4 linked regions of the Arabidopsis thaliana genome follow. The protein of the gene in region 2 interacts with the protein of the main gene of each other region in a pairwise test. Each region holds a gene or a part of one and is shown on either strand. Other genes may lie near its edges.

Evidence for each region.
Region 1: the proteins of MLO9 (region 2) and MSBP1 interact in a protein complementation assay, tested with the Arabidopsis thaliana proteins (one large-scale study listed by BioGRID).
Region 3: the proteins of MLO9 (region 2) and TMKL1 interact in a protein complementation assay, tested with the Arabidopsis thaliana proteins (one large-scale study listed by BioGRID).
Region 4: the proteins of MLO9 (region 2) and AT5G59650 interact in a protein complementation assay, tested with the Arabidopsis thaliana proteins (one large-scale study listed by BioGRID).

The regions. Positions count from the first base shown.
Region 1 is NC_003076.8:21,209,920-21,216,470, reverse strand, and holds MSBP1 (membrane steroid binding protein 1), read right to left. Parts: upstream 3,532-6,551; 5' UTR 3,351-3,531; coding exon 3,031-3,350; intron 2,257-3,030; coding exon 1,914-2,256; 3' UTR 1,860-1,913; coding exon of another isoform or gene 1,852-1,859; 3' UTR 1,629-1,851; downstream 1-1,628. Other genes in the region: MBD13 (methyl-CPG-binding domain protein 13), read left to right, coding at 4,837-4,920, 5,764-5,862, 5,998-6,144, 6,258-6,381, 6,489-6,551. UniProt on the Arabidopsis thaliana protein: MSBP1 can bind to multiple steroid compounds with different affinities. Negatively regulates cell elongation and brassinosteroid signaling. May act as a coreceptor with BAK1 and enhances its endocytosis.
Region 2 is NC_003070.9:15,978,054-15,985,908, forward strand, and holds MLO9 (Seven transmembrane MLO family protein), read right to left. Parts: upstream 5,519-7,855; 5' UTR 5,276-5,518; coding exon 5,135-5,275; intron 5,043-5,134; coding exon 4,985-5,042; intron 4,505-4,984; coding exon 4,275-4,504; intron 4,202-4,274; coding exon 4,085-4,201; intron 4,002-4,084; coding exon 3,944-4,001; intron 3,847-3,943; coding exon 3,758-3,846; intron 3,678-3,757; coding exon 3,603-3,677; intron 3,527-3,602; coding exon 3,438-3,526; intron 3,359-3,437; coding exon 3,309-3,358; intron 3,222-3,308; coding exon 3,181-3,221; intron 3,088-3,180; coding exon 2,914-3,087; coding exon of another isoform or gene 2,890-2,913; exon of another isoform or gene 2,849-2,889; intron 2,701-2,848; coding exon 2,665-2,700; intron 2,566-2,664; coding exon 2,498-2,565; intron 2,412-2,497; coding exon 2,351-2,411; intron 2,252-2,350; coding exon 2,156-2,251; 3' UTR 2,082-2,155; downstream 1-2,081. Other genes in the region: PMI1 (plastid movement impaired1), read left to right, coding at 1-763, 836-1,681.
Region 3 is NC_003074.8:9,000,628-9,007,725, reverse strand, and holds TMKL1 (transmembrane kinase-like 1), read right to left. Parts: upstream 4,158-7,098; 5' UTR 4,086-4,157; coding exon 2,705-4,085; intron 2,619-2,704; coding exon 1,975-2,618; 3' UTR 1,783-1,974; downstream 1-1,782. Other genes in the region: AT3G24670 (Pectin lyase-like superfamily protein), read left to right, coding at 87-729, 897-1,000, 1,084-1,222, 1,300-1,521; ABI3 (AP2/B3-like transcriptional factor family protein), read right to left, coding at 6,946-7,098. UniProt on the Arabidopsis thaliana protein: Does not seem to have conserved a kinase activity.
Region 4 is NC_003076.8:24,028,092-24,036,563, forward strand, and holds AT5G59650 (Leucine-rich repeat protein kinase family protein), read left to right. Parts: upstream 1-3,254; coding exon 3,255-3,336; intron 3,337-3,446; coding exon 3,447-3,984; intron 3,985-4,092; coding exon 4,093-4,548; coding exon of another isoform or gene 4,549-4,571; intron 4,572-4,630; coding exon 4,631-4,825; intron 4,826-4,911; coding exon 4,912-4,983; intron 4,984-5,067; coding exon 5,068-5,139; intron 5,140-5,225; coding exon 5,226-5,294; intron 5,295-5,389; coding exon 5,390-5,556; intron 5,557-5,647; coding exon 5,648-5,889; intron 5,890-5,960; coding exon 5,961-6,087; intron 6,088-6,166; coding exon 6,167-6,232; intron 6,233-6,315; coding exon 6,316-6,505; intron 6,506-6,606; coding exon 6,607-7,009; downstream 7,010-8,472. Other genes in the region: AT5G59660 (Leucine-rich repeat protein kinase family protein), read left to right, coding at 7,596-7,713, 7,821-7,971, 8,057-8,160, 8,223-8,346. UniProt on the Arabidopsis thaliana protein: Required for accurate photosynthesis.

The sequences.
Region 1 (6,551 bases), on a different chromosome or scaffold from region 2:
TCAAAATAAGACCATGCACATGGCTAAATAACCACTAGCTCCAAATATGATCTTTGAACATTGTGGTGATTAGAAATGGTTAAGAGTCTATCTTTTAGATTGATTATGAGTTATAATCTTCATCACTCCTTAAGTTAGCTTTTAGCAACAAAAAGTTAGAGCAATGGGATATGGATAAGTATGGGAAGTACACCATGTCACCAACTTGCCAAAAAAATTCTCTTAGAAGAAAAAATGTAAAGAAACTTTTTTTTTAATTATTGGGTGCAGAGAGACATCGCATTAAAGGAAGAAGAAATGGAAACACGAGATTAGCATTACGTTAGCGTTGGTTGGATAAGAACCTCAAATTTTGAAACCTTTCCTAACGATTAGTTTGGTCGTCGTAGATCTCAACTCCTACGTGGATAATATTACACCTCTTTATTTCTGATTTTCATTTTATTTTTGAAGACAAAAGAAAGTGAATGCAAAAAGTACACGTCGATACATCGACGGTTCATTACGTTTAGAATACTATTGCTATATAATAACTACATGTGCGTTGATATCTTGGTGCATGTTTGGCTTATTTTGACGATTTCAATATCTCGTGACACTTAAGACAATAATTGTATTCATCATGACAGCTTGTAAAACGTATCTTAAGCCCATATGTCTAGGTCCAACCCAATCCATGATCGCAGAGAAGGCGATAACCAAAATTCAGTTTAAACTGATCTTAGAAGTTTTTTTTTTTTGTCGACTGAAATACATACACATATATCAAAATGGTTCGGTAATCCAAATCGATGGTGTATATAGAACTATAGGTCTTACATACTTAAAATAATGAAAATGTAGTGGTGAACAACATGCTAGCTAACAAGTTAGCAAGACAATTCTAATTACAAGAATAACAGAAAGCCAGAAGAGAGCAAATATTTGAGTCTTGCAAACCATTCCAAATATGTTGAGAAAATTGGCTAAAATGTTCAGGAAGTTGTCAATTTTCTTTTAGCTTTGAACAGTCCATTGAGATAGTTACCGATGTACTTTGATGCTTGATCATAGGAGAAAGGCTTATGCATAGATTCCTAACTCTAAAAAGAGATCCTTCTATGTCGTTATGAAAACCGATCCAACCTATATTTGAAAACATATCGAGTCTCCTTCCATCAACTATCTATAAAATCTTCACATGTTTACCAAAAAAAATGAACTATTTTATAAAACATTAATTTGTGACTTCAAACTCCAGTTTTTGTAATAAAGACCGTTGTTCAAAGGTACTTGTCTTATGTTCTTGCAGCTGTGCAGTTTCTCAAATGTATCATTAAAAACCTTATCATTACGTGCCTTCCAATGTATCAAATAATCCATGGAAAGGTTAAATCTTTTGAAGAGCCAGGTTGTTCCAAGAAAAGAATATCCAAATTTGCAAATACCGACGACACCGAAATTTCCATAGTGCTGAGGAGATCGAGCGCACATATCTGCAATGCAAGGAACACTCAGAAGAACGTGGTCAACTGTCTTCTTTGCCCCAATTCTTAAACATCGAGGATCACAATTGAATACTCTATTTCCCAATTGATATGGATTTAGTGACCAACTTAAAAACTTCCTATAGTAGTAACCAAAAGGATGAAGAGAATTTACAAAAAAAGGATCAGGTTTAATGTTTTAGTTTCCAGATTAATCATGCAGATTCACAAACCACAAGTATGAACTCGACTACATTGTAATCATGCAATGCAACGCCTTCTGATATGCAGTTTATAAAACATTTTTTTCTTATCATTAATCAGCAATCTTTATTTTTTGGGAAAGTAAAACAAGATTATCATTGACACTTCAACATTAGAGATTCTACAATCCTTTTCATAAAACTGGTCTCTATGACAAATCAGAGCAAATCTTGGAAATGGGCTCTACTCCTCCTTCTTCAACACAGTCTCAGCAGGAGCATCATCACTCTTATCAACAACGGTCTTCCCAGGCGTTGTGGTTACATGAGCATCTTGCTCAACATTCTCTGTGGGTTCAGAGACAGATGCGGTTTCAGGTTCTGAACCAGCCACTTTGACAGTACCAACCTTAGCATACTTGCTCATGAACTTGTACTCCCAATCTTGAAGAGCATCTAGCTCAAAGGGACCAAGACCAGAGACATCCCAAGTCAAGTCTTTCTCCTCAAATGACATCTTTGCAAGAGCTCGGCTAGCGTCTTTCCCTGCAAACAAAGCATATGGTCCTCCTGGTCCGTAGAACATCCTACAAAACCAATAAATATCAAACCTTTCATCACAAACACAACATTTAATTTAAATACGCAAAAACCAGACTAGACTATCATAAGAAGATGATCAATTCATTATACTCAAAGATTAACAAAGAGTTTTCACTAAAGATCTCAACCACAAGCAGACATTAACAACAAGAACATATTACAACTTCCTTTGAATCCTGTTCTTGTATGAAGGAAGCAAAAGGGTAAATTAACACTATGCCACTCAAAAGCTCGATTACATAGAAAAGCACAACTTTTGTGAAATTGATTCTCAAAGTGAACAACTTTATGGATATCACAGCTTCATAGATAAAACTATGCAAAGTCCAAGTTGTTATAGAGTAAAACGAGATTTGAGGAAGACAATAAAAATCCAACCTTTCATTACAAACACAACACTTGAGACACTAAAACCAGTCTAAGAGATTGATTATACTCGAAGATAGAGCTAAGATATTTCACAACATGATCTCAATCACTAGCAAACATCAACAACAAAAACATATTCCTTTGAATCTTTCTCTTGTATAAAAGTAACAAAAAGGATCAACTTTTCCAATGTGCTTTTCTGAAATTGATTCTCAAAACAAAACTCCTTTGTGAAATTGATTCTCAAAGTGAACAACTTTACGATTCTCACAGCTTTATAGATCATAAAAGTATGCAAAGTCCAAGTCTTTATACGCTAAAACAAGATTAGAGGAAACAATGAATCAAACCCATAACCTAATTTCGCTTTTTAGATTCAGAAATTTCACCTGCTTTGTGTAACATCATAGATCTGATGTTTGATAGCCATAAGAAGGGGCTTTTGAGGATCAGAGCCATCGTACTGTTTAAGCTCCTCCTCCGTGATCTCACCGACTTGAACAGGCTGAGGAATCGGTGGCTCCTCCTCTTGAGCCAAGGATCTAGCTCTCTGATGTCGGTTAACATCATCGAACGGCGAGGCAAACCAGCCTGAGATGACTTGGTAAATGGCGAAGGCGAGAGCTAGAGCAGTGAAGAAGACAACAGGAGAAAGACCTGTGTAAGCATGGATTGCTTCTTTGAGAGTTTGCCATAGTTCTAACGCCATGGCTTTGAAGAGAGGATTCTCAAGATCAGTAGTGTGTTGAAAAGGCTTGTCTTTGTAAAAGTCAGGCTTTTGTGCTAGATAGAGAGTTGTTGGGTTTTGACTCTTGTTGTTGTACTACTTCCTTGGTTGATTGATTTTTTTCTTTCTTGGGTTTAAAAGTTAAATACAGCTAAAACGACCGAATAAGATTTTTTATATAGTTATTAGGGAACTAATCTTTATTTTTACCATACAATTTTTAAATAAAAAGTTATTTTCTTCTATAAGTAAAATACAAATGATAATGTAGTACATGGGATTGTGTTAGTGTTTTTGATATGTCAAAATTCGGGTTTCAAGTCTCTGCCGTAAAATAGATAGATTTTCGACGAAATAGAAAAGACATCAAGCTTAGATATGTAAATGGCTAGAATATAGTTAAGAAAAAAGCAGTAGAGTATTTTCTGAAAATCTTTGATGTTCAATTCAGTTATTTTCATCATGAAATTTGATAAAAAAAACTAAAAAGAATCATAACCTCGAAAAGAAAAATAAGTTTTAAGAAAAATAAGTTTCGTGGATGCAGAATTTAAAAAGAAAAAATCAACCACTTTTCAGATTTTAAAACACATTTTATAACATTGATATAACCTTCAATCCAAATAATTTATTAATACATAAACTTTTTTAAAAATCAAAGTTTCAATAATTAAATCACTAGAAATAGAATAAAATCATACTTCTAAATCTTTTAAACATGATATACAAATACCAAATTTAATAACATAAATTTAAACAAAAAGTAATTAAAACTATATATTAAGTAAAAATAAATTATATTTAATTCAGATTTATGAAAATTCATAATTGACTATATTAGTATTTTTCACTTTTCTTCTCATGATAAATCTTCCAATCCTAACATTTACAATAATAACATTTTTTTTTTCTTTTGGGTCAAAAAATGATAACAAAGTCTTAAATGTTTCCCAAAAAATATCATCATAAATAGATTTGCAATTAGATTTTATAACCAAATCAAGCAAATGTTTTTTAATATACAGTGTAAGTTTTTTTAAAATTGGGACAATAACAATGGAAGTAAACAACAAACAGTACAAGAGAATAAAATGGAGAAAATGAGCTAAATTGCAATCAGAGAAGAGAAGCGTTGGGCCAGAAGACTCGCGTGCTGGTGGACTGAGTTTTCTTGAACCTCTCAAATCGGGGAATCTCCATTGAAACTCCTCCACACTACACGTGTAAACCCTTTCTTCTTCTTCCCCATTAAATCCTACTATTTTTCTTATTTACCTTAGTGGAGACAGAACCAAATCACACAATCAGACAAAATAAAAAGGTTCCTTCTTTATAACTTCCGACGGTGTCCATTATCTGAATCCGACAATTCTTGATGGGTTTTGGCGTTTTGAGTTGATAAACCATTCTGAGTTGTGAATCAGGGATACAAGAGAGAGAGGAAAGTGGTTTTACGGTGACCGGAGAGATGAACGGAGAAGGGATCTCTGATGGTTTGTCGGCTGAGAGGAAAGTGGAAATTAGAGTGAGGAAGAATGGGAGAAAGGATAAGGTGATTTATGAGTTTTAAACCCTTTTCTTAATTTTGATTGTCTTTTGCATGTTTGGTTCTTGTTAGCTCCTTTTGTGGAAATTGTAGTTATCTTTATTGAAGTGCCAAATACTTTGATTCACTCTTAGTTTCTGATTGTATGATTTTGTAATGATGGAAAAAGGTGAAGTCTTTTGTGACGTTTGAGTGATTTTCTCTTGCATGCAATGCTTAGCTTTTAGGGAAAGATGACATGTGATCAAAAGAGAAGAGGTCTAGTTGATTAAGTGTCTGAAAATGGTCTTGACCTGACTTTTTGTTTTGTTATAGATGATGTAGTTTGATCAAAGCTTTGTTATGTAGCTACATTTTGAACTCAATTGATTTTACTTGGTTCCACTGTGGCTTAGAAAGCTCTTATTACTTGTGTGCATGATTGGAGATGTTTATTTTTTTTAAGTTTTTCTTGAATTTTTAAAAGTTTGTCTCTTAGTTTACTTCGTGTGAAAAGGAATTATATGGTTACTTTACTGAGATGGTTAGACATTAAGAGTAATAGATCTTGTGAAAATGAATTTGGATTGTTAAGTAACCATCTTCGAGAGAATACTGTAATATTCGTAAGCACTAAAACTTTGTACCTCTCGCGTATGCAAAGGGAAAGTTTTGAGATGAATCACATTTATATTGGCAAGGGTCTGGTATTAGGTTGTTCATGGAAAGTTCATAAGCACAGAATATCTGAGAGTTTTGTGTTGTTTATATGTTTGAAGACAATGTTACTTTGTTCTTTGTGATCCCTAAAAAGATTTGACATTTATACGTCTCTTAAAATGAAAAACTCTTTATGTTTAAGTGATACAGGTTATAGTTGAGAAATCTGCTGCTCAAGGTTTACCTGAAGGATGGATCAAGAAACTTGAAATAACAAATAGATCAGGCCGTAAAACCAGAAGAGATCCAGTTTGTACCCTCTACTCTCTTTGTGATAACATCATCTTTGATCAAAAGTACATTTTGTGTCTTTTCCACATAAGCTCACTTTAGAAAATCTCTTATGTGATTCTTCTTGGACATGTCTTGTTTTTGATTTTGCAGTTCTTCATTGACCCTAAAAGTGAGTATATCTTTCAATCCTTCAAAGACGCATCACGGTATGTTGAGACTGGCAATATTGGACATTATGCACGTAAATTGAAAGAAAGTGATATCGAAGATGATGATTCCGGAAATGGAAAGACTGTTGTGAGTTCCTTTCTCCTTTTTTGTTATAGTTAGTTTAATGGAAAGCACTATAGCTGAATGATTGAATTTTCTGTTAATCTTTTAACTCTTAACTTTTCTCTGTCTGATTTTAGCTTCGTCTGGAGTATGTGGACAAGAGATCTGCAGATGATGTATTGGAAAAAGAGAAAACGATAGATGATGTCAGAAGAAGTAAACGGAGAAACTTATCTTCTTCTGATGAACATTCCAAGAATTGTAAGTACAAAGTCTTTTGGGTTCTGATTTTGCCACTTGCCAGGGTATAATCATACTTATGCCGTGAGTTACGTTAAGTAAGTGTCAACATTCGATTATATATGCAGGTAAAATGACTTCTGACTTGAGCATTGTAACCTCACAAGTTCTTGAGGATTTGGGGAAGAAGG
Region 2 (7,855 bases):
TAAGAATTTCGCTAATTCCTTCGGTCGAAAGCAATCGAAGACGTCGTTTAGTGTTCCGAGCCCTAAAATGACGAGCCGGAGCGAGGCGTGGACGCCAGCGAGTGGTGTGGAGTCAGTTTCGGATTTTCACGGGATGGAGCATTTGAATCTGGATGAACCTGAGGAGAAACCCGAGGAGAAACCGGTTCAGAAAAACGACAAACCGGAACAGAGAGCTGAAGATGATCAAGAGGAACCAGATTTTGAAGTTGTGGATAAAGGAGTTGAGTTTGATGATGACTTGGAAACTGAGAAATCTGATGGAACCATAGGTGAAAGATCTGTTGAGATGAAGGAACAACATGTTAATGTTGATGATCCACGGCACATAATGAGACTCACCGAGCTTGATTCAATTGCAAAGCAGATCAAAGCGCTTGAATCGATGATGAAAGACGAGAGTGATGGAGGTGATGGTGAAACAGAGTCACAAAGGCTAGATGAAGAGGAACAAACTGTGACAAAGGAGTTTCTTCAGTTACTTGAGGATGAAGAAACCGAGAAGCTGAAATTTTATCAGCACAAAATGGACATCTCTGAACTGCGGTCTGGCGAATCCGTAGACGATGAATCGGAGAATTACCTCTCGGATCTCGGTAAAGGCATTGGTTGCGTTGTTCAGACACGAGACGGTGGTTACTTAGTCTCTATGAACCCTTTCGACACGGTGGTCATGAGGAAAGACACTCCTAAGCTTGTTATGCAAATCTCCAAACAGATTGTGGTAAGGCCTGAATTAATATTTACATAATCAAAAGAATCCTACAACAACAGGAATCTGAAATCTTTATTACAGGTACTACCAGAAGCCGGACCAGCCACTGGATTCGAGCTATTTCATAGAATGGCGGGTTCGGGTGAGGAACTAGAGTCAAAGATATCTTCGCTTATGGCGATAGATGAGCTAATGGGGAAAACAGGGGAGCAAGTGGCTTTTGAAGGAATAGCGTCAGCGATTATACAAGGGAGGAACAAAGAGAGAGCTAACACGAGCGCAGCGCGAACTGTCGCAGCTGTTAAAACAATGGCTAACGCGATGAGCAGCGGAAGAAGGGAGAGAATAATGACCGGTATATGGAATGTGGAGGAGAATCCATTGACTTCGGCAGAGGAGGTTTTAGCCGTCTCTTTACAGAAACTAGAGGAAATGGTTGTTGAAGGACTTAAGATTCAAGCTGACATGGTGGATGATGAAGCTCCTTTCGAGGTTTCGGCTGCGAAAGGTCAGAAGAATCCACTTGAATCGACCATTCCGCTGGAAGAATGGCAAAAGGAGCATCGCACACAGCAAAAGCTAACGGTTTTGGCGACAGTACAGCTCCGTGACCCGACAAGGAGATATGAGGCTGTAGGAGGGACAGTTGTGGTAGCAGTACAAGCGGAAGAGGAGGAGGAGAAAGGGTTAAAGGTAGGAAGTTTGCACATTGGGGGAGTGAAGAAAGATGCGGCGGAGAAGCGGAGGCTTACCGCGGCGCAATGGCTTGTGGAACACGGAATGGGAAAGAAAGGGAAGAAGAAGAGTAATATAAAGAAGAAGGAGAAGGAAGAAGAAGAAGAGGAGATGTTGTGGAGCTTGTCATCTAGAGTAATGGCGGATATGTGGCTTAAATCTATAAGGAACCCTGATGTGAAATTGCATTAGTTGATCTTGGAGGTATTCATACTATACAATAAGATGCATTTGTTTATTTATGTTTTGTATATTATTTTTTAAGAGTTTCAAATTTTACCTGCAACAAACATTAGTCAAATGTCTTTTTACCAAATTTTTAAATTTCAGGAATTGGTTCAACTAATTTTCCCTAATGTTATGTATTGTTTTTTTCTGGTTTTCTTTTCTAAGAAAGTCTTTTATATATTAACTCTAAAGTGTACAAATGCATAAAAATTCTACCTTTCCAAAACTATTTTGTACAAAACTATAAATAGGACATGATAAACATGTAGAGAAAAAATCAACTCAAAAATTAAACCCACGTAAGGAATTTATATAATAAATAATAATTACATAGCTAAATCCTATTTTCCAAAAATTGTGTATAGACTATTAAGTAACCAAACTATTAGACTGTTAAATTTGGTCTATCCATAGATTAAAAGGAGAAGCCAATTATTCTCACTTTTCATTCTTTTTCCTCGCCTTCTTATGCCATTGTTCTAATGCTTTTGAAGTTTGCTCATCAAACACTGATCGCTTCATTGTGGATCCCATCTATAAAATATATATTGTAAAAGAATTATGCAATGATAAAACAACTAACTCTATGAAAACATTCAAAGGAAGAAAAAAAGATATATAAATGTTGCATACCTGAGTGACGAGAGCGTAAAGGGGCAATGTGATATAACTGCATAGGAATTGTACTCCCACCCTAAAGCCAAGACCATATATTCAATTTTCACAAACTCGATCGAAAACTTGGTAAAAAAAATTGTTTATGATAATACTATTACTCACCCTAGGCAGACACGAATGATTATAAGGCCAAAATGGTGATGAAAACAGGACCTTAGCCCAAACTCATACTGCAACAAGAATAATTATAACATTATTATAAAAATTTCTAGAAGCAATTAGTACCAACATAAAGTAAAAACTAGAAGAAGAGATTCTGAAAAGTTTACCCATATCCAAAAAAAATAAGTTATCTCAAAAGCATTCTGAAAAGTATCCAAAAAAATAAAATCAGTAATTATACTAAATCATAGGCTTAGGCATTCGGATTTCGGTTCGGATTCAGTTTGGATAATTCGGATGAGGGAGTTTGTTATCCGTTCGGATTATACGACTATTCGGTTCGGTTTTGGTTCGGATGGTGTCGGATTCGGATCACTAAAACATCACATATATCATTCACTTATATAAATTTTCACCTGAAACAGAACGAAGTGGATCATATGAAGTACTAGATCGGGTTTTTCAAACCAAAAATGTTGGTCTGAGACGTTGACAACTGGCATCCCTTGAATTACTGCATGTCTCTCTTGAATCTCCAATGCCATGTACGATATAATGGCTTGTAGCTTTGTTCCTATGGCTAGTGTTAACTTTAAACATAAACCACAATTAGTTCATAAAATGTTCTTTAATCTTTTTGAAGTAAGAATGAGCTTCGTATAGTAGATAAATTAATGACTTACTAGAGGAGGAATCATGGTGATTACGGCAGTAACATACCATCCTATAAAGTTTTTTGTTTTTATATATAGATCAATTATTAGTAAGTCAAGATATCATAATGTAGAAGTACGATAAACTAAAGACTAACCGTGAACATCGAAGAGTAAAAACAACATTACAAAGGCCCAAAGCTCGGGTCTGTCATCATCAGTGGTAGATTTCATTAGAAACAAATAAAGCAAACTAGACTAAAAATGTGAAAGAGGATATGAGTTACCTTATTCCTACAACCACCTTGAAGTCGTCTTCCAAAGATCTTTTGATGTACTTTTGAAAATCAAACTTCATACCAGGTGCCAAATGAACCTAAATACATAGGGTTTTAGAGCAACAAACAATTGGATATTAATGGAGAATTAATGTAAGATATTAATGCACTCACACTTATGAATCCATGTCGCATTGTCAAGTAATCAGACTTCCTCACTGATCTAAGTATTTGACGGAAGAAGCACATCTGAAAATTAACCTCTAGTTCCATTAGATTAGAGATGATAATTGTGCAAGAATAACACTTAGAATTTAAGAAAATCGTACAACGTAGAAGAAGAATTTATTGCTAGCCCAAGAATTGACATGTTCTCGGACAAATGATGTCTCATGTGTGAGTCTAAATCTTGATGGATCTGTATTAAAAAAATAAAAATAGCAAGGACAGTAAAATTTTGATTAGCTAGGACAGTAAAATTTTGATCACCATGCAAAATATAAAGTTCACTCTACCATTCATCATTTCTTGTTCATGGATGACCTCTTGCTCCCATACTTTCCAGCCACGAATCTATGTTTACGAAAAAACGAATTAGTTCAATTAAAATCATCATCAACACATATATACAATGTGAAAAATTTCTACCAATATACCTTGGCTCTTCCAAGCATCATGGTTATAGCACTATATATAACATGGAACACGGCCAAGAAGAATATGAATATATGCACTTGATGTAATGCGTTTAATGATATAAGTGCGACATAATCCTGAAACGATAACAAAATAATAAGTTAATAAAACTACTTAAAACTTTTATGCTGAAACAGTAGTTAATATTACTTTCTTGCAATTTACTGGAGGAGCGTCGGCCAAAGAACGACGTTGAACAGAGTAGAGAATACGCATTGCATGGTCTGTTTTCTTGAGCTTTTTACGATCATCTTCACTAGGTCCATCATATGGACCACAAAAAGACATTGCATGGCCGTATCTTGATGGAACACATATGCTCGCAATGTAGTTTTGGCCAAATGTTAGAAGCAGGGAAATAAATCCCAAAACCATAAGCTCTACAATATGTAACATAATTTTGAGTTAAATATATATATATAGGAACCAAAACTTTTCATGAAAATAATAGGGATACGATCCATCAGTTACATCCCTAACCATACGCTAACCACACGAAAAATTCCATCTTCACTACATAAAAGAAAAGATAGCACTCCAACCAGAAGACCAAAATAGATTGAAGACGAAGACGGTCAAAGAAAATAACAGATTGATTTATTCTGTTAGCGTGTGAGGCTTATCTATTACGGAAATCAACGTGTTTTTCACTTTTTTGATTACTTTGTTAAACTCATATATTGGTTGTGTGGTTTGTAGAGCTTCAATCTGTGTGCTCACTGATATATTTGTATTATCGTCTTTAAATTAATAAAGAAAATATATATATATATATATATATATATATATATATATATATGAACGAAAACAATTGTTCCTTGATTTCAAGAAACCAAAAAAAATAATTTCTATATTGTTACCATTTTTAATCTTCTCAAGAGCTTCAAACAAAGCTTTCTTCTTCTTTCGTTCGAAAACCTACAAGCATGGAATTAAGTGTAACCAAAAAAGTAGCAAATGCAAAGCATATATACATCCATAAGGTATAATGGTGTTCTCTATCAAATCACCTCGCCGACTTTGTGAATGATGAGTTCCAAAATAATGGAGATCAAGATGATAACACCACAAACTGTAGAAACGGCCCAAGTCGGGGTCTGGTCTAGCTGTCTTGGACCTTCGCCACCTCCTCCACCACCACCTCCAGCCATTACTTAAAACCGTGATGATTATCTTTTTATTTTTATTTTTTAGTATGTGTTTGGTATCAGAATTTCAATTTCAAAAGAGAAGAGACAATAAAAATGAAGTCAAAGAGATAGAGAGAATGAAAAGGAAAGGGATGATGTTGCCATTGACGAGCATGCGAAAATAGTAGATAAGAGTGTAGACAAATCCGGTGAGTTATTTTTTAAAAAATATTAATTTTGTTTTTTTTATCAATTTATTGTCTTCCCTATTTTACAGGTTTCCACATTATTTAAGTGGGAATGTATGGAGAAGAACGAGTACGGAATAATTGGTGGAGGAAATTTAGAAGAAAAAAAATGAGAGAATTAAAGAGACGTCGTTAGCAAACTACAATAGACATCATTAAGCAATTGGATTCTAGATATATAGTATTCGTTAGAATAATTAATAAATTAAACTAGCATGCAAAATTAAAAAGCATGTGCAATTAAAATGCTAGTAAGAAGAAAATAAACTGGACAAATCGTCTTTATGTACTACAAAGAATTGTTCCATTTCTTACTGCATAAAATGTAGAAAATAGTGGGAAAAGTGATACCATCGCCTAATTTATACTATTTTAATAGGATATAAGTAAAAAAATCTGTATCATATTACAGAAGACTCGCATCATATTAAAGAGAGACAATTTTTAGAGCTAGGCCCGAACAAAATATTCATTAGATCCGTTTCGACTCAGTTTTTTATTTGATTTGATTCAAAAATCCGAATATCCGTAAGATTTTCAAGCAAATCAAATAGGAAAATATAATATTCGTAAAAATCGATGCAAATAACAAATATTATCCGCTTTGATTCGTATTTTATATATATATATATATATATATATTAGAATATATAATTATGTATATATATAAATATCATAATATAGTTTGTATATTTATATATTTTTGGGTTTATATTTGTAACTTCAGTATTTTTCTTCTTTGGAAATCTTGTGTTTTTATGTTAAGATGTAAGTTTGATCATTTTTCTTTCATGTTAGTGGTATCTTAAACTATCAGGTTTTAGGTCATCTCCAACAACAGTTTCTCAATGAGTAACTGAAGATTAAAAAAATAAAAAGTAATGAAAAAGGTGGAAAGAGAAAGAGATACGTTTCTCATATGAGAAACCCACTTTAATACTTGTGTCTTTATGATTGGTCAGATTTTTTTATTTATAATTTAAAATTTAAATAAATGATTTATTTATTATTAACTGATTAAAAAATATAATTGAGAGACTCACACCATCTTTTTGCGTTGGAGATGCCCTTAGTTTTTAGAATTAGTTTGATGGTATTTTCTTGATCAGTGATATCAAAAATAGTTATGTTCTGTTTTTTGGAACTTATTTTGACATCATGTCAAACAATTTTTTTGAGAAAAATAATTAGATGTATCAAAGCGAATTTCCGCAAATATCACAAAAAAATCTGGATATTCGAATTTTTGGATATTCGGAAATTTTTGGATCAAAATAATTTTTGCCTAACCCGCAAATTAGCATATATTTGTTAGTTTTTTTTAGACATGACCAAAATTAAACCGTAACCGTATTTCGGGCCGTAACCGGACTATTTTCAAACTGTAACCGTATAAAACGGTTAATAACCGTAAGTGTTGACAATAAAAATGGAATAGTTACAGTTAAAAAAAATATACTAACTATACCCGTCAATAAAACGTAACCATATCAAACTCGTAGTTAAAAGTACGGTGAACCGTACGATTAACTACATAGATAACAACATAGTTAAAACCGTAAAAATACAATTTTAAATATTTGTAATACAAAAATATATATCAAATGTTCAGGAAAAGAATTTCAAAAAAGTAAATAATATCGCATATAAAAATAATCTAAAACATACTTTTCATTTTTAAAAGCAATAAAAAAGTCGAATAACCATAAACATATTTAACCGTAATCATTGTAACTGTAACCGTATTCAACCGTAATTGTATCTAAATATAACCATCTTAACCGTATATATAATGGTTAAGGTTACGATTAAAGAAACTTTATAACCGTAACAATGGTCATGCCTAGTTTTCTTATTTAATTGGGTTGTCGAGTTGTAGCCCCACACAATTTCCTTTTTCTTGCCTCAACCCCATCAATGTTGATACTTTATTTGTAACCTTGTAAGTTGTTAAACCCCTAAAATTTGAATTTCGAGTTATAAGAGCAACTCCAATGGTTTAGAACCAATTGGTTTTTAATTTTGAATCTTAGCCTTATTTTAAATTAAAATATTGCTTTTACTAAGTTAAGAAAAGTTAACAAAAACTTAACTAATTTCTACTCCAATGGTTAAGAGCTATTGGTTTCTTAAGAAACAAAAATTTAAATTATTCCAAAACAATGTCTTATAATACACGCAACTACACAAGATGTTTATAATACAATTCAAATCACCGAGGACTTCCAACTAGGCAACTACACAAGATGCTTGTTGACACTATCACAAATCCCTGCAAAATGATGTAAAGACATTACAAAGAGATTGGGGGACTTCCAAATATATGATTGTGGTGAATATGAATTAACAAGGA
Region 3 (7,098 bases), on a different chromosome or scaffold from region 2:
TCTTTTTGTTATTTTCAGGAAAATAAAAACTTCACGGGTCAATTTGTAACAATTTAATAACTCTGTTCTCTTTTTGTTATTTTCAGGAAAATAAAGAACAGTACAGAGCGGAGGAGGTTAGGATTCTTCTCATGCGCCACCGGAAACCCAATAGACGACTGTTGGAGATGTGATCGGAATTGGCATCTCCGACGAAAGCGTCTCGCGAATTGCGCGATCGGATTCGGTCGTAACGCTATCGGAGGACGAGATGGTCGTTACTACGTAGTCACAGATCCATCTGACCACGACGCGGTTAATCCACGACCAGGAACACTCCGTCACGCTGTGATACAAGACCGTCCGTTATGGATCGTCTTCAAGCGAGACATGGTGATTACTCTAACTCAAGAGCTAATCATGAACAGCTTCAAAACAATCGATGGAAGAGGCGTGAACGTTGCAATCGCAGGCGGTGCTTGTATTACGATTCAGTATGTGACGAATATTATCATCCATGGGATTAATGTACATGATTGTAGAAGAACTGGTAATGCTATGGTTCGAAGCTCGCCGTCGCATTATGGGTGGAGGACTATGGCGGATGGTGATGCTATATCGATATTTGGATCGAGTCATATTTGGATTGATCATAACTCTTTGTCTAATTGTGCTGATGGTTTGATTGATGCTATTATGGGATCTACTGCTATTACTATCTCCAATAACTACATGACTCACCACAACGAGGTTAGCTTTCTTTGCTGATTCAGTGGAACTGATGATGAATTTGCTGCAGAATCACGTTTTTGGAGTGGATTTTGGTTGATTTAGTAGCTAAATTAGTTAGTATAGTGAACTGAATTGTGTAGGGTGTGTTAAAGAGTTGAGAAGAAGTTTCTTGATGGATAATGCAGGTTATGTTGATGGGGCATAGTGATTCGTACACTAGAGACAAGTTGATGCAAGTGACAATAGCATATAACCATTTTGGGGAAGGGCTTATACAGAGAATGCCGAGGTTCGTCATGCATTTCATGTTTTCTTTTCGATGATTGTTTGCTACAAGAATCAGGAGGGCTGATTCTTTTGTTGTTATTTCAGGTGTAGACATGGTTATTTCCATGTTGTAAACAATGATTATACTCATTGGGTAATGTATGCAATTGGTGGAAGTGCTAACCCTACTATCAATAGTCAAGGCAATCGTTTCCTTGCCCCGGGCAACCCTTTCGCCAAAGAGGTATACCTTAATTTCTCTCTTTCGGAGTAGGAGATATTGAGAAAGGATGAATCTCAATATTGTAATGGTTTTGGCAGGTGACAAAGAGGGTAGGTTCATGGCAAGGGGAATGGAAGCAATGGAACTGGAGATCTCAAGGAGACCTAATGCTCAACGGTGCCTACTTCACTAAATCTGGAGCTGCTGCTCCTGCAAGCTATGCCAGAGCCTCTAGCTTGGGAGCTAAACCAGCTTCTGTAGTAAGTATGCTTACCTACAGCTCCGGTGCCCTTAAATGCAGGATCGGTATGCGGTGTTAGTTAATTGTATAATCCTCAAACCCAAGACCGAAGAGGATACTGACTAGCTGAGGGAGACAAAGGAAGAAAACTAACTTGTTTTCTTCGTCCCCGTCATTTACATTTTCATCGTCTCCTTTCTTTTCTCTTTTACCATTTTAGACTCTTCTCTGCCTCCACTCGTCAACCTAGGCCAGCTTTGATGAGCCGCAGTGTTGTTCGACTCAACTCCAAAATTGTAGTACAGTGCATTCTTCTTCTGCCTCATTACTCATTTGGTGTATCATCATGTATCATATATTCTTCTATCAATATTAATACTTTGAACTGCTTCTGTTACACTTACACCATTTCTCATCAACAAATATAGATAAAATCAAATCAGAATGGTTTCTTGCCAAGGAAACAAATATAGCCAACTAAAGTGAGGAATTACAGAAGAAAAAAAAAGCTTGTAGAAGAACACAATTAGACTCAAAATGGAGTTTCGGCGTCGCTCCTGGTTTCGGTTGGGCTGTACAATGCGGATCTATTCCTCGGTCTGTTCTCTTCCAACTGCTTCACAACCTCTTCCATGCTGGGTCTAACTGTTGTAACAGGAGCACAACATCCCATCGCTAGCTTCAATGCATGAACCAAACCTTCTTCCATTGGGCTCCTAATCCCTTTCATTGCCTCCAAGTCGAAAACCTCCATTGTCGTCTCTTCCAACACCGCAGCTTTAACCAAAGAAGGCAAGTCCACAAACTCATTACCGTTCCTTCCACTCTTTCCTGGTTTCTTACCCATCAATATCTCCAAGAGAAGGATCCCAAAGGCGTAAACATCACTCCTTGGATTGCATTTCTTCATCTTGTGGAGTTCAGGTGCTTTGTACCCGTCGGATTTCGCCTGCGAGACAATCTCATCTGCTACTGCCTGTACCATTATCTTGTCAAGCCCAAACTCAGTTAGCCTTGCAAAGAAAAAGTCGTCCACAAGCACGTTCTTTGATCTAATATTTCCATGGATGATAGGAACTTCTTGTCCAGTATGAAGATAAGCAAGTCCCCTCGCTATTCCAAGTGCAATCTTGTGTCTCCTAGCCCAATTCAAAGCTGGCTTTCGAGGTTTACTTTCTGCACATCATTCAAACAACACATGAATAACAAAAATCAACCAAGAAAGATCCATGGCAAAAAAGATTGATGATGAAAGAAAATACCATGCAACAAATCATGTAAGCTTATGTTGGGAAGATAGTCATAGATGAGAAGCTTTTCTCCTCTCTTCCCTTGATAGAAAGCTCTCAAGGGAACCAAATTCTCATGCCGAATGCGTCCTAACTGCCTTATAACAGGCAGACAAGAACTTCTATCCTTGCAAGTACCTTCTCTCAATAGCCTCAATGCAATATTCCCTCCATCACTAAGCTTAGCTTTATAGACAGTACCATAGCTAGTCTTCTCCATAACTTGCCCAGTAGCATTCAAAACATCATCCAACGTCAGATTCTCACCACCTTGAAACACAACTAACTTTCCTTCACCGCCTTCTTTCTCACCGATTTCATCTTCTTCATCACCTTCTTCCAAATCATCTTCACTCTCTATACTACTCTTTCTTTTCTTGTTCTGCAAATACCCTATTAACAACGAGGCCACAACAACAGCTCCAGACATTAAACCAATCACCAGACCAGCAACAGCACCTGGACTTAACCTAGAGGAGCCTAGACAAGGCTTCAAAGGCAAACCACAAAGGCTAGGACTGTTCCCTTCGAAAGATTCTGCTCCAAACTTTGACTCACCAAAATCTGGCAACATCCCACTGAAGTTATTATGAGAAAGATTGAGACTTTCTAGCTCTAATACACCTAAACCCTCAGGAACAAGACCTTCAAAGACATTACTTGAAAGATCAAGTGACTTCACACCTTTAAACCTAGTTATAAACTCAGGAAACTCACCTGAGAACTTATTACCACCCAAATCAAGAACTTGGAGATTACCACAAGTCGAATTTGGCAAAGCAGGCTCAGGCAAAACCCCAGACAAGTTATTACCATGAATCTTGAAAGAGACAAGCTTATCACAGAGGTTCCAAATCGATGGAGGCAAAACCCCAGCTAAGGCATTACCACTCAAATCAACATCAGAGAGAGAAGAAGTGTAACCAAGCTCAAGAGGGATTGACCCACTTAATGAATTGATGTTGAGGAACACACTTTGAAGCATAGAGAACTCACCAATCTCTCTAGGGAGTGAACCAGTGAGATTAGCAGAAGGAAGCTGAAGAGAGAGAAGGTGAAGAGAAGAGTCGTTGAACAGAGAGGTATTAGTCCATTGTGGTGAAGAGAGGTCACTACATTGAAGAGGAGACCCATTTGAAAATACCCATTTTACACCTCTCCATTGACAAACAGGAACAGAGGAGTTCCAAGAAGACAACAGTAAGCTCTCACTGTTTCCTTGTAGTGAAGACTTGATTTTTCCTAAAAGAAGCTTCACATCAGAAGAACCAGAGAGAGATGTTCCACAATGACAGTGAAGAATTAGCACAAAGAAGAAGATAACATGAAGAAATCTCAAAGCTTCCATGCCCATTTCTCACAAAGAGACAGAGAAAGAGAAAGAGAGGTTAGAGAAGGGAAAGGTAAGGACTTTGAGTTTCAAGACTGGTCCTTTGTAGCAGAAAGAGAGTGTTGACTACTTTGTAAACACTTTAGTCAAACATCTCAACGGCTATGATTTAAACTCAAACCGTATTGATTATTAACCGTCCGATATAACCAAAAGTTGGAATCTTTATAATCAGAAAGTGTAAACCGGATTGATTGCTTACCGTCCGATCAAGTGTGGCTTAAAGCGATGGACAAGAATGGTATAAATCTACTGATTACTCCTGAATTTATAAAGTTACTTTTCTTTATAACTTTAATTGATTAAACTATAAGCACGCTCAAAGTTCGAATTAAGACTTTTTCTTCTGCCAAAATAATAAAATGATGTTTTTTTATCAAGGTAAATGTTTTTGTGTAATTTGGTTCATGGGATGTTTCATGCTCCTTGAATCTTGACCGTAGATGAGTCATTGGAGACATGAGATGAGTGAATCAACGGTGGATGATGGAGAAGGTGGAGAAATCTTAGATAGTTTTGGTTTCTCTAGAAGACAATTTGTTGGAAGTACACAGAAAATGAAGAGCCAATATTTTGAAAAATGGGAAATGTGAATATCTAAGTGAGATGAAGTTATGTTGTCTATGTCCTTTTGTGTATTGTCTATTTCGAAATTTCAGGGGTGTCAATCGAGTAGACCGGTCAGGTGTCCGAAACATATTTTGGATTTGGATTTTGACATCAAACAAGATTGAGTAATTTGTTTTATTGTTGGATCAAACACGCTCAATTTTTTTTGCGTAGTATTTTTTGGCATAGAAAAATAGAAGGCTTGAATGGTAGTAGTTTATACTTTATAGCATAGTTATTGGTTTTCCAAAAACCCATTTAATTATCCAATCAAGATTAGAGTTCGCATTTTTGTAAACAAAATGAAAAATAAATCCCACTTTAATGAGTTTTTGATAATTGTTTGCAGATTTCTTTTTGTAATTTTAAATCAATATTTTTTCCTTTTGGCAAAATCTATAATCCAAAACCACTTAAAAACTCAAATATTCATGGCCAAAAGTTGTTTTCTTAAACCTAAGCATATATAGATAGGAAAACAATTTCTAATATACTGTATTTTACAATGGACTAGTAAAAGTTTATGAATGATGTGAAAACAATTAGATATACTGAGTCACAGCAGACTAAAAAAAAATTTTTTTGTTGAAATAGATATCAAGTTTGGCTTTTAGTAATATAGAAGTGTCTGAATTTGGTTAAAAAATAATCATAGATAAAGAAATTTATAAAAGGCATCTGATGGTTACTTTGATTCTAATTGACACTTTTGTTCCAAACATTTGTTACAAGTCGGGAAAATTATTTATTGTTGTATACCTCTAAGGTGGCTACACCATTTCGAAATTCAATCCTTTTGGAAAATGAAAAAAATATCTATACATTTTTTTTTTTTGAACAACAAAAAATATCTATACATGTCGATCATATATTCATATGTAGAAAAAGGCATATATTGATGATAATAAGACCACATAATTAGAGCAATATATGTTCTCCAGATATAAATCTCATGCAACTTTATAGAAGAAGAAGTTAGAAACATGAGGAGTCCTTGATTAGATTACTGAGACAACTATGTATGTCACGTCTTTATCAACATCTGAAACTATTCAACTACCACGCTGCTCCTTTTGTAATCAACTTCACTTTCATAAGATCAGATTATTTCATCAACTCCACTTTCTTTTTTGTTTCTCATAGTCTCATTATAAGTCTTTTGTTTTCAAGTTGTCAACCGTCTCACGGCTTTCTAGTAGGGCCTGAATGGAGAAAGGTGTGGTGTGGATATTTGGCACGGGTCAGATCATTGTTTTTTTGAATATCTCAATTCCTTAGGTGCGGTCCAGTTTTTGGGTTTAACCAAAAATAAGAAAGAATAATGATGTATCACAAACAACACACTTATATGAGGAAAATTATAATCCTACCTCACTTGTTTTTTTCCTCCAAAGATTTTCGTTACTCAATAATACAAAGGGTTCAAGCTAACTAGATAAACAAGAAAATGATAGAATCAAAGTGGTAAGGAACAACTCTTCTTAAAATGTCCATATGTAAACATTCTATTTACAAATATTTACAATGTGAATATGTGAATGATATGGATAATTTTGTACATATGTCCATATGTACATTAATTATCATTTTGTACATTAATTATCATTAATTATCATTTTTACTATCATTAAATTGTCCATATGTCCATATTTACAAATAATTTTGTACATTGATAATGATAATTAATGTACAAAATTAATTATCTCAATTCCTTCTTAAATTGTCCATATGTCCATATTTACAAATAATTTTGTACATTAATTATCATTTTTATTATCATTATCAATGTTTGTGTAAAAATATTGTATCATTCAACTCTTCTTAAAACATTCACATTATAAACGATATGTAAGCTCGACTCAAGAAATGAGCCACATATGTAATATTAACCAATTACAACAACAAAAGAACTATATAATCATCTCTCCAGAAATATAACACAAACACCATTTCCAGAATTAATCATCTCTACAATATCCTGAAGGTAAAAAGAGTAAAGAGTTATAAAAGAACCGACTCGACAAGAAAAAGCAAAAAATGGAGTAAAAACCCGGACCCCGACCAAACAGCTTTAATCATGACCCTCCATTTGTCTTCAAGATCCCATGCATGCACGAGAAGTGGCACACTCGGGTACGCTGCCATTTTTTCCTTTTGCCCTCTTTCTTATTTGGTACATAATAATATTTATATTGTTTCTTTTTGTCTCTGTTTTTCATTTAACAGTTTGAGAAGTTGGTGAAGCGACCACCACATTCGCCGACGGAGAGTTATTGTTTATGTTCCTTTGCGACTTGTTTTGTCTCTTCGTAGCTGCTGACGACGGTGGGGCCTCCGGCTTTTGTCCGCTCGGTTGTCTTACTTTAAC
Region 4 (8,472 bases), on a different chromosome or scaffold from region 2:
ATAGATATGAGAATATTTTTAAATTATCATTAACTTTTTTGTTCATATTGTTTTGAGAATATTTACCATTTCTTCATATAACAGTTATTTTTTATATGTGTAGGTGTTAGCTTATTTTTTCGGGACCTATGCGCAAGAACTATACACAAAGATGGTATTGAAATGTTGCAAAAAAATATTTGTATGGTTCTTTGTAACCTCGAGAAAATATTTCCTCCTTCTTTTTTTGATGTCATGGAGCACTTGCTAATTCACTTGCCACACGAAGCTAGTCTTGGAGGACCTGTGCAGTTTAGATGGATGTATTGTTTTGAACGATACATGGGACATCTAAAAAAAAAGGTGAAAAATAAGGCAAAAGTAGAAGGTTCGATCGTTGAGCAATACATCAATGAAGAAATTTCTACTTTTTGTACTTATTATTTTGATCGACACATCAAGACAAAAAATCGAGCAGGAGATCGACACTATGATGGTGGTAATCAAGAAGATACACATGAGTTTGATGGAGTTCCAGATATATTTTCTCAGGCAGGAAGAGACAGTGGGAAAGAAAGTGAGATATGGCTCCAAGATAAAGATTACCATATCGCACATAGATATATTTTGCGGAACTGCGATCAATTAAGACCATTTGAAAGGTATGACAAAATAATTTGGACATCTGTATGGATTTTGTTTTTTTTTGTAGAATTAGTAAAAGACATTGTAAATATTTTTCATGGTTATATATGTATATATAGGTTGTTTGATGAGAGCTTGATCGCGGCTAATCCTGGGATAAGTGAAAAAGATCTAAATGAGCTTAGAGAAAAGCAATATTCAAGCTGGTTAAAAAAATATGTAAGATATTTTTTTTTTATATGAGATAAATACTTGATAGCTTATAATATAGTATGTGTCTTTTTATATTGAATCAGGTGGAGGATACTTGGAAGGATAATTCATATCCAGAGTGGTTGTTGAGTATTGTTCATGGTCCAATGGTTAAAGTTACTTGTTGGCCAATGTATTTTTGTCGTGGATACATATTTCATACATATGATCATGGAAAGAACAAAAAGAATGCCAATTATGGAGTTTGTGTCAAAGGTACAACATCTTCTAGCTCAAATGAAGAAGCTGATTTCTATGGAATATTGAGAGAAATTTATGAGCTTCATTATCCTGGACATGTTGATCTCAAGGTCGTGGTCTTCAAGTGTGATTGGTATGATTCAAAAGTTGGGAGAGGTATACGAAGAAACAAGTCAGGGATTATTGATATTAATGCTAAAAGGCATTATGAAGAGTATGATCCTTTTGTTTTGGCTTCACAAGCAGATCAGGTATGTTATGTTCCATATCCACGGATGACTCAGCCGAGAAAAGATCAACAATGGGAAGCAGCAATTATGATACAACCGAGAGGGAAAGTATTGATAACAAAAATCTGGATTTCACTGCAATGCAGCATGATAACGATGATTCTATTGTTGAAGTTGATTCATTACAAATCGAGACACTATCATATCTAGATGCCCAACCAGAAGATCTTGATGATCCAGTAGTAGAAGCCGAAGATGGATCAGATGCTGAAGATGGAAATTCTGATATCGAATTAACTAGTGACGAATCCGAATAATTTTTTTTTTCATTTGGACTTTTTACAGCTTTTTTTGTATTATCAAAAACATTGTTTCCAAAACTGAAGAAGTTTTTTTATTTAATTTTTTGTTCACAAGTTTTTATTTTTGTATTAAAATTGGTAACACTTATGTCACAATCTATGACCAAACGCAAAAGTCACTAAAACAGTGACAAATTGTGTCATCGTTGTTACAAAATTCTCGTAACTATACATGACATAAATTCAGTCACAATTATCGTATAATTTAGTTACTATATTTGGTCGCAAATCCGTACTTATATTTATGACTATATAATTTGTAACAAATTTGACATAATTAGTGACAAACATTAGTTACATTCAATTAAGTCATAATATTATAACGAAATAGTAACGTTTTTATGACCAAATAAATACGTCACAATTTTGTATGAAAATGGTCACAATTTTCTGACGAAAATAATGACCGTAATTTTTTCGTAAGAATATCGATTTCTGACCAGACGCTCTTCAATATCCGTTAGTAGTTGTGACACTTGAATGTGGTTTTGGACATGTCACCAGAAACTTGTCTTCAAGTGGTCTAACTGGAACCATGGCTGCTGCGATTCAAAATCTTACGCAACTAGAAACTCTGTAAGTAAGCTTGAATAATATACATACCGTTGCGTTTAAAAAAGCTACTCTCCAGCGACCGTGTTTCCAGCACTCCAAATTCATTATTTTCTGTTTAATGGGCTGATAAAACCCATGTTTGGCCCATAACAATTATTTCTGTTATTATAGCAACGTTGAAAAATATACATACCGTTGCGTTTAAAACGCTACTCTCCAGCACTCCAAATCGCCAATCGCGTTCTCAAACAGTGCTAATCGCCGATGAAGAGGTCTCATTGTCATCGCCGTCCTTCTCACGACGGGAGATTTCGCTGCCGTATATGGCCGATTTATCTCCGGAGATTCCTCACATTCGTCCTCCTCCTCACAAAAGTTATTGGGCCGGCTCAAAGAGATGGAATCAAAATTCTCTCAGTTTCATGGCCGGAAGGTAATTTCTCAGTTTATGATGTAACTGAAAATCCTTTAAAAATTTGAACTTTATGATTTTAGATATCTGATAATGGCGTCTTTGTCTTGAAATTTGTTTCTTCATGTTGACCCACTTCTCTTTAGATAATAGTCATTGTTGATAAATGTGAATCCTCTGCTTTGTGATTAGAAGCTGTTCTTGTCGATGAAGACGTCAAAATGTGTATTAATTAGTGATAAATTATCCGATATGATTCAATCAAAGTCACTGACCACTAGAAAGTCAAATCTCTTGCTTTCTCTCTGTGTGAACATTTTTTAATGCGTTAAAAGAGTGGTGACTGTAAAACCCTCTATTGACATATTCTCTTAAAAACACAGAAGTTGCATATTATTTTTTCTAAATACAAGTTGCATATATTCTGACATTCTTGGGACAAATCAAATTTGTAATTGTAAAGTTGCAATAGAAAACACATTTACTCATTCGTTTCACTGACTCAGGACATCTTGCCATGTTGCCAGAGGCTTGGACTGTTTCTTGGGTTTATCTATTTATACGCTGTGTTTCTCTCAAACTCTGGCATTGGTAAGGTTTTGATATCTAAAAGCAATTATGGATAGTCCTTGTTGGCTTTTGCTGCTGCTATTAGGAGCTTTTGCCATTATTGGTTGTGTTCAAGCTCAGGATCAACAAGGTACCTAAATCTTAATGGTTTATATGTATATTACACTACTACTTCTTACTGATTCGAGTCTTAGTTATGTTTGTATCTGAGATGCTTTTGATTTTTCACTCTCTTAACAGAGTTTATCAGTTTGGATTGCGGGTTACCCATGACTGAACCGTCTTCTTATACTGAGTCAGTAACCGGACTACGGTTCTCGTCTGATGCTGAATTCATCCAGACTGGTGAAAGTGGTAAAATCCAGGCGAGTATGGAGAATGACTACCTTAAGCCGTACACGAGGCTGAGGTATTTTCCAGAGGAGAGAAGGAACTGCTATAGTTTGAGTGTTGACAAGAACAGGAAATATTTGATCAGGGCTAGGTTCATTTATGGGAATTACGATGGTCGTAACTCTAACCCGATATTTGAACTGCATCTAGGACCTAATCTGTGGGCAACTATAGATTTGCAAAAGTTTGTGAATGGTACAATGGAGGAGATCCTTCACACTCCAACATCAAACTCTTTGAACGTTTGTCTTGTTAAGACAGGGACAACTACACCCTTGATCTCAGCCTTGGAATTACGGCCATTAGGAAATAATTCTTATCTCACAGATGGTTCTTTGAATCTTTTCGTTCGGATATATCTCAACAAGACAGATGGCTTTCTTCGGTAAGTGTTTTTTTTTTGGTTAACAGTGATGGATTCTATATTCCTATACTCTTTATTTTTAACATTCCTATACTTATTCAAGGATAATACAACCTTTGTTCCACATAGGTACCCGGATGATATTTATGATCGCAGATGGCATAATTACTTTATGGTGGATGATTGGACCCAAATTTTCACCACTCTCGAAGTGACCAATGATAACAATTATGAACCACCAAAAAAGGCTCTTGCAGCGGCTGCCACGCCTTCTAATGCCAGCGCGCCATTGACAATCAGTTGGCCACCAGACAATCCTGGTGACCAATATTACTTGTACAGCCACTTCTCTGAGATACAAGATTTACAGACCAATGATACCAGAGAATTTGACATATTATGGGATGGAGCTGTTGTTGAAGAAGGTTTCATCCCTCCAAAGTTAGGGGTGACTACTATCCATAATCTTTCTCCAGTGACATGCAAAGGAGAAAATTGCATTTACCAGCTAATAAAAACCTCGAGGTCAACTCTTCCTTCTCTACTTAACGCTCTTGAAATCTACACAGTTATCCAATTTCCACGGTCGGAAACAAATGAAAATGATGGTATGTTACTTATCTTCATTGTTATGCAGATACAGTCTGTTTTTTTTTTTTAACTAGAGAAATCAACTTCACCTGCTAATTCTCACATCCTTGAGCTCTACATCAGTGGTTGCTGTTAAAAATATCGAAGCTGCCTATAAATTGAGTAGAATCAGGTGGCAAGGAGATCCTTGCGTCCCTCAAAAGTATGCGTGGGATGGTTTGAACTGTAGCAACAACACAGATGTTTCTAAACCTCCAAGAGTATTATCCTTGTAAGTCGTAAGATCCAAGATATGAACATGCACACTTTGACACTTATCTTCAAAATAAGTTAACTATCATGCTTTGGAATCACCAGAAATTTGTCTTCGAGCGGTTTAACTGGAATCATTGCGGCCGCAATTCAAAACCTTACACATTTAGAAAAACTGTAAGTATGGCCATAGTTAATATTGGTTTTGTTGATGGAGGAAAACCTAATGAGCTCTACTTTATTTTGGAAATAAACTTTTAGGGACTTGTCAAATAACACACTAACTGGAGTGGTGCCGGAATTTCTAGCCCAGATGAAATCGTTGGTGATCATGTAAGTTGCTCAGCATATTTTCGTTTACTTTCAGTTCTCCTTTGGTTCATGTGTCTGTATGCATGAAGATTGCTCTTCTTTAATAGAAACTTAAGCGGCAACAATCTTAGTGGTCCCCTTCCTCAAGGTCTTCGAAGAGAGGGACTAGAATTACTGTAAGAAACTTCCCACGTACTTTTTAATATTCCACAGTTATTTTCCACAGCCCTTTTGTGATTTGATGTTTTTAACAACACTCTTTTTCTTGCAGAGTTCAAGGCAACCCAAGGCTTTGTCTCTCTGGTTCCTGCACAGAAAAAAACTCGAAGAAGAAATTCCCGGTGGTGATTGTTGCATCAGTTGCTTCTGTGGCCATAATTGTTGCTGTGTTGGTTATTATTTTTGTTCTCAGTAAGAAAAAGTCATCTACTGTGGGAGGTAATTTGCAGGAGATCTCTCATCAAATCAAGAAACTGCAACAAATCGATGAATTCTTACATACCCTACTTTTTTTCTTTCTTATCTATAGCTCTACAACCTCCACTGAGTATGCCAATGGTTCATGATAATTCACCTGAACCATCAATCGAGACGAAAAAGAGAAGGTTTACTTATTCAGAGGTTATCAAAATGACGAATAATTTTCAAAGAGTTGTAGGGGAAGGAGGATTCGGTGTTGTTTGTCATGGTACTATAAATGGTTCTGAACAGGTGGCTGTTAAAGTTCTCTCTCAATCATCAAGTCAAGGATATAAGCATTTTAAGGCAGAGGTATGCATAATCTTCTTAAAAATATGACCATCTAACGCTTTCTCTTACTTTTATTTCCCATGAATGATTAGGTTGATCTTCTTCTACGAGTTCACCATACAAATTTGGTGAGTCTTGTTGGATATTGCGATGAAAGAGATCACTTGGCTCTCATCTATGAGTTTTTGCCCAAGGGAGACTTAAGACAACATCTATCTGGTAAACTTGAATTTCTTCATGATTCGAAAGTGTATATATGTTTCAACGTTCCCAAGGATCTAAAGAATCAAGTATTCAGGAAAAAGCGGTGGGTCCTTTATCAACTGGGGTAATCGTCTACGAATAGCTCTGGAGGCTGCACTAGGTTCGTAAGCTTATTAGCCAATATTGGCAGCTTAAAATGACTTTCCTTCTGGTGGACTAACAAATAATCATTCCTTTGAATAGGATTGGAATATCTACATTCTGGATGCACACCACCAATTGTACATAGAGATATAAAAACGACAAACATATTGCTGGACGAACAGTTAAAGGCCAAGCTTGCCGATTTCGGCCTTTCGAGATCTTTCCCTATTGGAGGTGAAACACATATTTCAACTGTGGTTGCTGGTACTCCTGGATACCTTGATCCTGAGTAAGTGTCGTTAGTTACCATTACAATGTGCTGAAAGTGAGTTGTCATTTTGCACTTTATATATTGGTTAGAGAGTATAACCATGTACTTTTGCCGTGCAGATATTACCAGACAACTCGACTGGGTGAGAAGAGCGATGTGTACAGCTTCGGAATTGTGTTATTGGAGATTATCACAAACCAACCTGTGATTGACCAGTCCCGTTCAAAGTCTCACATATCACAATGGGTTGGATTTGAGCTTACCCGAGGAGATATTACTAAGATCATGGATCCAAACCTGAACGGGGATTACGAATCTCGTTCTGTATGGAGAGTTCTTGAACTGGCAATGTCGTGTGCGAATCCTTCTTCTGTGAACCGACCAAACATGTCCCAAGTTGCTAATGAACTGAAAGAATGTCTTGTTTCTGAAAACTTGAGGGAAAATATGAATATGGACTCTCAGAATTCTCTTAAAGTGAGCATGAGCTTTGACACAGAGTTGTTTCCGAGGGCAAGGTAGTATGTGCTGCAGGTAACACAACCATGCTAATTAGTTGGGCTATTGGTCATGTTTGCTTTGATCATCCACATGCCAAGATCATATACCCTGTTACTTGGTGATGTTTTCATTATTTTATGTGTGCTTAGTGATGTTTTCATTCTTTGTATGTGTGGCTTGGATGCTAATAATCATTGACCGTAAAAGAGTATACCTCTTTGTGGTTCCATCATTAACAAACAAATGATTTTGGTTAAATATTTGTAAAATGGTTGGAAGAGTATTGATTTAAAACTGTCAAATAGTATATAAAATTAAAGAAACAGATTATGGATTGTGATTTCTCAACATACATTTATCTGTACTCTGAAATTATTAGGCTCACCATTCACTTAAGGCTATGTCAAATATAATTGATGTGATAGTTTATTGCTTAACGTGCTTCTGGGTCTGCTCCATATCTTCCATGATTGAGTTCATGATAGTGATGTTGGGACTTTGCTGTCCTCTTTTTCTTATTCATTTTGTTGAATAGAAAATGCATTTACTCATTTCTTTTGGCTTGGCAAAGTCTTTCTTTCGGCTTTTACATTTTCTTCCTAGCCAAATGGTTTTCTTGATTTTTCCTTGGAAGGTTAGAGAAGATGATTATATGAAGAATTCTCTTGGCCTTTTGTTCCTGCTAGTCTCCATCATTCATATTGTTCGAGCTCAAGACCAACAAGGTATCAGAAACCTTTTTTTTCCCTTTTAAACACATTCTTTTACAAACTTTTTGGTTCTCAGAAGTGCATTGTTTTAAAGAATAATCTTTATAAATGTCTGCCAACAGGATTCATCAGTTTGGATTGCGGACTCCCTGCGAATGAACTGTCTCCTTATGAAGAGAGTTTCACTGGACTGCGGTTCTCTTCGGATGAAAAGTTCATACGTAGTGGAAAAAACGGTCGAATCCGAGAAAATCCTCAGGGATACGCTAAGCCGTACGCTGAGATATTTTCCAGATGGAATAAGGAACTGCTACAATCTAAACGTTGAGAAGGGCAGGACACATTTGATTGTGGCTAGGTTTGTATATGGAAATTATGATGGTTTTGACCTTAAGCCAAAGTTTGATCTGTATCTTGGACCTAATCTATGGGCCACGGTGGATTTGCAAACAGAAGTTAATGGTACAGCGGAAGAGATCTTACACATCCCAACATCAAACTCTTTGCAGATTTGTCTTGTTAAGACTGGGGAAACTATACCGCTAATATCGGCTTTGGAATTATGGGAAATGGTTCTTATATCACTAAGTCTGGTTCCTTGAATCTTTTATCACGAACATATCTTAGCAAGTCAGGATCTGATCTACGGTAAGTTAACTTCAACTGATCATTGTTTGTTCTTTCTGCTCTGTTTCAATACAAGGGTTGTTTTCATTGACACTTAGAAAAGGTCATACATAAGGTTTTAAGGCAATCAATATGATCATTTTTTTT